2 linked regions of the Neurospora crassa OR74A genome follow. The main gene of each other region encodes a partner of the protein of the gene in region 2 in a complex. Links are inferred from orthologs where the notes say so. Each region holds a gene or a part of one and is shown on either strand. Other genes may lie near its edges.

What was found. Proteins that work in one complex are often made in the same cells at the same time.
Region 1: the proteins of NCU07672 (region 2) and NCU03623 are in contact, whole or in part, in a crystal structure (PDB 6OP8), measured with the Schizosaccharomyces pombe proteins. The link is inferred for Neurospora crassa OR74A from reciprocal best matches to the Schizosaccharomyces pombe genes cue1 and ubc7. Residues at the interface, in NP_587825.1 of Schizosaccharomyces pombe: Asn173, Arg174, Ser175, Lys176, Leu177, Lys181, Arg184, Glu185, Leu187, Phe188, Arg191, Lys192, Glu193, Met195, Ile196, Leu197, Ala199, Arg200, Arg202, Met203, Lys206, Ile207, Glu210; in NP_595778.1 of Schizosaccharomyces pombe: Met11, Tyr14, Lys15, Leu17, Thr18, Glu19, Asn20, Gly21, Pro22, Asp23, Gly24, Ile25, Thr26, Ala27, Gly28, Pro29, Ser30, Asn31, Glu32, Asp33, Asp39, Leu41, Gln43, Gly52, Leu54, Arg161, Leu164, Gly165.

The regions. Positions count from the first base shown.
Region 1 is NC_026505.1:1,882,683-1,886,739, forward strand, and holds NCU03623 (ubiquitin-conjugating enzyme E), read right to left. Parts: upstream 2,538-4,057; 5' UTR 2,152-2,537; coding exon 1,905-2,151; intron 1,784-1,904; coding exon 1,530-1,783; 3' UTR 1,205-1,529; downstream 1-1,204. Other genes in the region: NCU03622 (UBA/TS-N domain-containing protein), read left to right, coding at 1-829, 938-1,039; NCU03624 (hypothetical protein), read left to right, coding at 2,903-4,057. UniProt on the Schizosaccharomyces pombe protein: Catalyzes the covalent attachment of ubiquitin to other proteins. Functions in degradation of misfolded or regulated proteins localized in the endoplasmic reticulum (ER) lumen or membrane via the ubiquitin-proteasome system.
Region 2 is NC_026504.1:2,290,020-2,294,119, reverse strand, and holds NCU07672 (hypothetical protein), read right to left. Parts: upstream 2,274-4,100; 5' UTR 1,813-2,273; coding exon 1,510-1,812; intron 1,391-1,509; coding exon 1,025-1,390; 3' UTR 709-1,024; downstream 1-708. Other genes in the region: NCU07671 (hypothetical protein), read right to left, coding at 65-425; NCU11372 (hypothetical protein), read right to left, coding at 2,909-2,980, 3,044-3,185, 3,247-3,450, 3,504-4,100.

The DNA.
Region 1 (4,057 bases), on a different chromosome or scaffold from region 2:
CCCCCCCATCTCCGCCATCGCCCTCCAATCCTCCACCAAGCACCGTCTCGAAGGCACTGCCCACTTCAAGCGCGGTGACTACGCCGCGGCACACACTTCCTACGGCGCCTCCCTCTCCGCCATCCCGTCCACTCACCCGCTCGCCATCCTCCTCCTTTGTAACCGCGCCCTCACCGCGCTCAAAGTTGGCGAGCCCCGCCAAGCCGTCTCGGACGCCGACGCCGCCATCGCGCTCATCGGCCCCTCAAAGGGGGAGGGGGAGTCTGTCGAGGTGCAGACTTCGGAACACGGCCCCGCAGAGAAACGTGAAATGCGCGACCTCTACGGCAAAGCCCTCGCCCGCAAGGCCGAAGCGCTGGAGCAAATGGAGAAGTGGGCGGACGCCGAGAAAGTATGGCAGAGTGCTGTCGAGGCTGGTTTGGGTGGGCAGACGGCGGCGGCGGGGAGACAGAGGTGTCAGAAAGCTCTCGCTCCCAAACCTCCTCCTTCCGTCTCTGCCTTTACCAAATCCGCTCCAGCTCGTCCCCGCCCAACTCCCAGCGCAGCAACAAGTCAAAAATCCTCCGAAGCAGTCCAACGTCTCCGCCTAGCCAACCAGGCCGCGGAGAAGGAAGGAAGCGAAAAGTTTGCTCTTGCCGACAAGGTGGATGCGAAGATTGCGAGCTGGCGCGACGGCAAGAAGGATAACTTGCGCGCGCTGCTGGCGAGTTTGGATAATGTGCTGTGGGAGGGGAGCGGGTGGAAGAAGGTGGGATTGCATGAATTGGTGGTGGCGAACAAGGTCAAGATTGTTTACATGAAGGCTATCGCAAAGTGTCATCCTGATAAGGTAAGCTTTGTCTTTCTTTTTTTTTTCTCTTCCCCTTTTTCTGTCTTCTTGGAAATTTGAAGTGAATCAGAAATATCCGGGATGGTTGCTGACGAAGATGATAACCAGATTTCGACGGATGCGTCAACCGAGGTTAGGATGATTGCTGGAACGGTATTTGCCACGCTTAATGAGGCTTGGGATAAGTTTAAGAAGGAGAATAATATGTGAGTGTAAGGGGCGGGTGGAATAGTAATGGGTTGATGAGAAACGTAGGGGGGCGGAAGGGTTAATGTTCTAAACTGCTTATTGAGATATGATACCTATATTAGAAGGAACGGGAAAGGAGTGCTAATAAACCTCAAGCTACTTGTCTGCTGTAGACATGTCTCTGTTCGAGCGGACAAGGCGAACGGAGGTCATATAGAAAACATCATCAACATGGGAATAGGAAGTTCGTCATTATTATCCTCAAAGGAAAACACCAGTGCCATGCCATGCTAATAAAAAAGTATACCTCAAACCACCACCCTTCCTCTTGTTCAAAGTGCTTAGTCACTCCGAGATTCTTTTACCACCCTTTACCACCACCACCACCACCACCACCACCACCACCCCCGTTCTCGCTCTCTATCCACGAAACCTTCTTCAACCACTTCACACAACGAACCCGCCCTTCCATTACTCTCTTCATCCTCTTTCTTCCCAACTCTCCATGCCCTTAAAGCCCCAAGCTAGCCCTCACACTAGCCTTCACCCTCGCCTCGTACTCGCTCCTCTTCTCCCTCCACATCTTGGCCGCCTCCACGTTCGCCGGACTCTCGTCGTTAGGCTCCGCCAACATGCTCATAACAGATAACAAGATTTTCTCGACGGACTGAATAGGTGACCATCTCTCCGAGGCAGTCTCGTAGTGGTTCGGGTCGTCGCCGGGTGGGTGGAGGATCGAGATGCAGACCAGACCTGAGGGGTAGACTGTTGGAGGGTTGATTTCCGTTAGCACTTTGCATGCCTGACCACCACAGATGGTGAGAAGAACCAAGTGAAGGATAAGAGAAATAAAAAAGGAAGAAGAGGAAGGAGAAGAAGAACACACCATTAGGATGGAATATATCCCCCAGAAACTTCATGGTCGGCGGCATATGCGGGTAATCGTTCGGAAACTTGAGTTCTGCGGGGAACACGCCGCCCTCAAAGGGGGTGCCTTCGGGCCCTTGGATCAGGCATTCCCAGTGCAGCAGGTCGTCTTCGGAAATGGGGCCCGCGGTGATGCCTTCGGGTGGGTTGTTGGTTAGAGCGCGGTATTCTTGGAGGAGACGACGTTGGGCTACGTTGAGAGACATTGTAGCTGTTGGTTGATGGTGGGTGTTGTTGTTATTGTTGGGGTCCTCGTGTGGTGTTGTTGTTGTTGATGATCGAGACGTGGGGCTCTCTGAGGAGAGTGCCTCGGGGGCGGTACTGTGTTATGGATATACGCTTTGGTGATCGGGATGGGAATCGCGTGGTGTCGCAAGCAGTTACTGTGGGTTGGGCATATGGTTAAGACGAAGGTAGATATGTCGTGATCTACTTCTTATCGATTGTTTGTTTTGGTTTAAGAAACGAAGTGTCGAACTGAATCGATGCATGCAGGAGAAGCGCGGAGGACACACTGGGCTGCAGCGGGGGTTGTCAGCGGCGCAGTTGCTTGACACGTCTGACGTCGGTCCGCTCGGCGGGGATTGATTTCCATGGGACGTCTCGGGACGGGAATTGGGGAAGCTGCTGCTGCTGCACCACAGGGGCCATACATGCTAGGGCCCGGGACCCTTCCAGAAGCGCCTACGACAGGTACACCAGCCGGGGGGTTCTAGCGGCCGGGTGTGCTGTTTCCCTTCCTGAGCTGCCGGCCGGCAACCTGAGAGCTAGACTACCTCTAGGGAGGTAAAAAAAAGCTCTCGGTCAACCGCAACCGGCTTCCTTGTTATCGCAATTGGCTGTTATCGCATCTGCCATTCCATCTATTCTTGTTTCGGTTTCGGAAACTCGATGGCTCGTCGTCGACTGGGAGCCACGCCGCTCTAGCTTGCCAACCTCTCACCTCGTCAGCCAGCCATGCCGCCAACGCTGGGCCTACGACGGGCTTTACAGAGCCGCGGCCGCGGTCTCGGGTTTGGCCAGCGGACAGTACCGTCGTCCGTATGTCTCTTCTGTTCCTTTGCGACTCGGCCTTCCACTTTTCCCACATCGTCACCACTCAACAAGCTCCGGGCAACGAGGGCAAAACCACAAGAAGCGCCGGCTGTTCGACCACGATACCAATCGACCGGCGCCACCCCGCTCCGGCCCTTCATAAGCACGCCCTCCGACGCCGCCGATGCCGCCCCGGCCGAACCAGAACCAATTGATCCCCGCAAAGACCTTGAGAGCGCTCTCCGCGACTTACAAACCCTCGCACCCAACCACGTCAATCTTCCGCGCCTCCAGCTCGCCCTACGCAACCTTAGCCAAGATCCCGGCCATGAATCGATACGAGTCGCATTCCTCGGCCTCACCACCGGCGACAAGCCCCAACACACTGCCAGGGAGCTGCTCCGCCTGGCACTCGCCGATCCGCTGAAATCCGCCCAAAACTGGGAAGCGCAACTCAAGGCCCACGACCCCTCCAAGCCGCTCATCGTACACATCGGCCCTCCCGAGGAGCAAGCCACGCCACTGTCGCTTGCCGCGAGCGAACATGTGATCCCCGAAATCACCGTGCCGTCGCACATCTACAACGATGCCAACCTCGAGATGATAGTCATGGAGGCCGACCAGGCAACCGTCGCGCAGGCGGGCGAGCAGCCACACACCTTTGACGAGGCTATCCTCGTGCCCGCCGTCGACACAGCAGCCACCACAGCCGGCCACTCGGCGCCCATCGTCACGCCCGTGCACATGGCCGTGCTGGTAGCCGACGGCGTCCTGAGCGCCGCCTCCATCCTGTCACTGCCCATCAGCCCAGAAAGCCAAGACACCATCACGGCCGTCGCCAACTTCAAGAGGATCAGCGCCGAAGACAAGGCCGCATGCCCGTCCCTGGTCATCACTAGCGTCGAGGCTGGTGCACAGGGCCTCGACCTCTTCCGTGAGAGCGCTAGCAACGCCATGAAGTACGAAGCCCTCTGGACCGAGGCCGGCGTGGGACACATCAACAAGTGGCTGCGATCCAACGTGCTGTCGCAAGCTGAGCAGGAAGGGGCCACCAAGGCGCCCGTGCGCAAGCTGATT
Region 2 (4,100 bases):
TAGTGACCAATTTGGGACCAACCGAAACCAAACACGGAGAGAAAATCGGCTGGGGTTCGCTCACCTTGCGCTCCATATCGCCAATCGATTCCCCGCGTCTTTGGCGTTATTGTGATTGGCACGAGTCCACGTTCCGAAGTGCTCGTTGGAGAGGCCAAGCCAGCCATAAAGTATCCGGTTCCAGCCTCTGACATCTTCCTAGTGGCAGTTATATCGTGTTTGGGTGGTGGTGTTGCCGACATAGGTGTGGAGGGAGTGGAGGCGGGTTTGAGCTTGGTCGGGGGGATTTCCCCGTCACCAAATAGAGATATGTGGTGCTGGAGTGATGATATCGAGAACATCGAGCGCAATAAGGAAGGGCGTCTATGTGGAGGCGTCGGCGGGACTGCCTTGGGGCTGAATGTTGTTCCCTCATTTGGCTTCATGGATGCCGATTGATCCTGCGTAGCCAGTTGATAACTTCCAGTTTATTCGAGACGGACTTGAGTGGTCCAAGGTCAGCTTCGTAAATTTGATGTTGGAAGTTGCAAGGGCCACCCATTTGGCTGGCCAAGAGCGGCTGCAAGATGTCAACGCCGGATGTTGCCGCTGAGGAGAGATCCAGGGTTTGACCTCGCACATATGAGACCTGGAGACAAGCTGCAGTGTCAGGTGCCTTGCTGCGATGGTCGACTCCAAAAGCAATTCCACCTCTGGCGACGTATTTATCGGGCTTTCAATCTTATAAATACGAATGTCTTCGTACAAAGTTGTAGCTACGCTGAAACACCAGATGACCCCTATTGACCACAGAGAACGCTTCCGATCTATCCGACCACCTTCAGCCTCATCATGATGCCTAGTTCGTCTCTTACAATCTATACATGCCCCAAACTGTGACATGTGTGTGATAACTCTCTCAAACCCCTTCCACCAGCCTTTCCTCTTTAAAGTTGTGTTGGTTCTATACGTTGTTTCATTACATGCAAACATGTTCCACTCCAATACTGCCCCTTACAGAGCCAAAACTCAAGCCGATGGGCCTTCAGTTATCCCCGGCGGCGGCGGAGCCCGAAGCAGCAGCAGCAGCCGTCTTCTCCGCCGCAATCTTGGCCTCCATTTTCCTTCTGGCTTCGATAATCATCTGATCCCTCCTCTTCCGCAGTAACGACTGCCTCTCCTCGCGATTCGAGCTCCAGCCTCCTGTCTTTGGGGCGCCGGCCGCCGCCGTCCCGGCATCCTCCGAAGGGGCGCTGGCAAGTTTATCCCTCAGGTTATACCTTGTGATCAGATCCGGGTGGACCTTCTTTTCCGCGTATTTACTGGCGGCGGCGGCAGCTGCACTTTGCTGCGCAGCAGCGGTTGTCTCTGGCGAGCTGGGTGGAGGCGGAGGCTGAAAGGTGATCGGAGGCTAAAGGATGGTTTGTCACTCAGGTGTTAGCAAAAGCTCTCTACGAGTGACGAGCAAAAGCGCATCATATGAGGCATGGAGAACGAAGCTTGGAAAAGTAAAAAGAGGTCGGAACTTACAGTCTCCGTTCTCCCGGCCAAAATCCTTTCTGTTGTAGCCTGCAAGTTTCCTCCATGGCGCTGCAGATCCCACAGGATAGTCCGTCTGTCTACCTGTGGGAACATCTGTTGTATCGTTTCGACCGCCGCTTCTCGTTCTCGTTCCCTCCGTCTTTGCAACTCCTCTGGTGTCGCGCCGCCTGTCCCGCCCGGCTGGCGATTCGCCGAAGACGCATTTCCGCTGAAGAAGAAGTAGCGTACTGCTAGGCCAGTGACCAACAGTACGATCACCAGGGAAGGGATGTTAATCTCTTCCTCTGCCATTGTAGACTGTTATTTTTGTTGGTTGTTGACCCCTCTCGCAATCGTTCGTTTGCGCGATGTGGAAGTTAGGCTGTCGCCGAGTAACCGGTTCCTTCGACTGGGCAGCTAAGTCCGGGAAGTCGTGGGGGTTTGCTGAGTAAGATCTATAGAATGGAAATCTAGTATTCTTGTCCCGGCGAATTCTAGCTTGTGTTGTTGCTTGAAAATCCCCGTCGAAAAGTGCTTCGCTCCCTAACGCCTGACGTATGATGCGCGTCGCAAGACGATGCCGATGACTAACGGGATTGAGGCAGGTGACGCGTGCCAAGGGCAGTCGATGTCGATGTTGGTGGCAAGGAGAGGATGAAAGAAAGGAATGCGTTGTGACGAGATGCAGTTGATGGATACGATGGTCCCGAAATAGGTAGTGTGGCCAGCGAGGTCGAAATTACAGGTAAGCGTTGGTTTGCCTCCTAAGTATGTAGTGTACAGACGAATATAGTGTACATAGGTGAGTGTGATGAGGCAGTTGGGGAAAGCAGTGACATCCATGAATTCGGCCGCAGTGGGGCAATGCCAAGCCTGCGACCGTAGCGTAACAATGAACGGAATGATTACACAACTTTCACGTGTGAGCAGGCACTGGTAACAGCCAGGAGGTTGCGTGTAATTACCAAAACGAAAGACGTCGCGTAAGCTTGCACCGAAATATAGACAGTTTGATCGCAAACGTTGGAGCTTGGAAGTGTTTGAATATCAAGCAACAGTTGTTTCGACCATGATTGTTATGCAGATAATGATCTGTCCGGTACGGCTGGTATTCCTATGTTATTTCGCTGACCGAAACCCATGATATCTCTGACTTTTCCCATCTGAGACGAGCCCCTTGACCATGGATGATTCAACAGCGCTATACCTTGGGTTGTATCCGGTAGGTTCAGATATCTAATAACCTCCCTCCTAAGCAATGCGGTCCGCTCAAAGAGCTACCCGGTGAATCCTCGCAAGGTATGTCCGCCCCTGCGAAGGATACCCTTTCGAGGCGTGTCGAGCTAGCCCTTTCTCTATAACCCAAAGCACGAATGCATATGCATGCCGTGCTGATGAGTCTGAAAGCTTATGCTCCTATTGCTGGCATTGGAACGCCGAGGTTGGTCTCCAGGTCGCAATAATACAAAGTGAACTCTCTCTGGAGAGGTCGTTAGCATATTCCACCTATAAGCGAAAGGCCGAACCACGGCACACTACTTACCCGCTCCTTGTGCCAGTTCACGGTGTCCCATACGATGTAGTAACCCCGTTCATGAGCTGGGCTTAGTTGAGCCGTATTACCCATCTCGTCCTTGGTAAGCCACACTTGAAGCTTCTTGTGCCATCTCCAGTTCCGCGTAGTTCTGTGTGGATTGGTCAGCTCCATAACGACAATCAAACGGAAGGTACTGGGAGTAGTCTTACAGCTCAGCTGCAGCCAGTTGCTGCTTGATGTCGCCCGGGCAGCTGTAGAAAATCCACATCAAAGTCTCCTCATTAAAGCTCTGAATCTTGGCCTCAATAGGCTGTACGTTCTTGACCATGTAGCATTCGGGTATCTTGAACTTTGGCACAGCCGGCCTGGGAGGGACATCGTCCAGTATAGAGTAGATTTGCGTGGAATACAGCCTGGAGAAGATCAGCTTGATGCTTGGGCTCGCGAAAAGTCCGGTTACACATACTCAGAAGAGTTCAGCTCCAACCCTAAACTGGAAGGATCGATCCCGATAATGAGGGAGTTGTAGTCGGGGAAGTTATTCATCAAGGTGCGCAAACCCTTCAAGCCAAACTTTTCGATGGCGGGCATGCCCTCCAACGGATCTTGGACTTCGTTGGTACGGCCCCTATCCTCCTCCTTGCCCTTAGCAGATGGAGGATCGTTTCCAATTGCGCCGAGCGGGTTCCTGGTACCAATTGCTTGCGAAACGGCATCGCCCACCGAAGAGCGTGAAGCCATACCGTCCTCCCGATACACTGGCGGCTTTTGGCGTCCTTCTTCCTCGTTGACCGGGCTCCTTTGGTCGTGCGGGCGTCCAATTGCAGTTGGTGAACGCCCGTCTGTGGTGCGCGTGTTCCCTGTCAGCGCGTTCAACAAGCCGTTATTTGTCCGATTGGGGTGAATCGATGGAGTAGATCCGAATCCCAAACCTGGCATGCCACCTAATTCGCCGTTTGCACTCCTGTTCAACGGAGGAAAGTCGTCCGTAACACTAGATGGTGTTTGTGATGTTTGCCCCGAGTTCCCTTGGTTTCCAAACCTGAAAGCTCCTTGGGCCGAT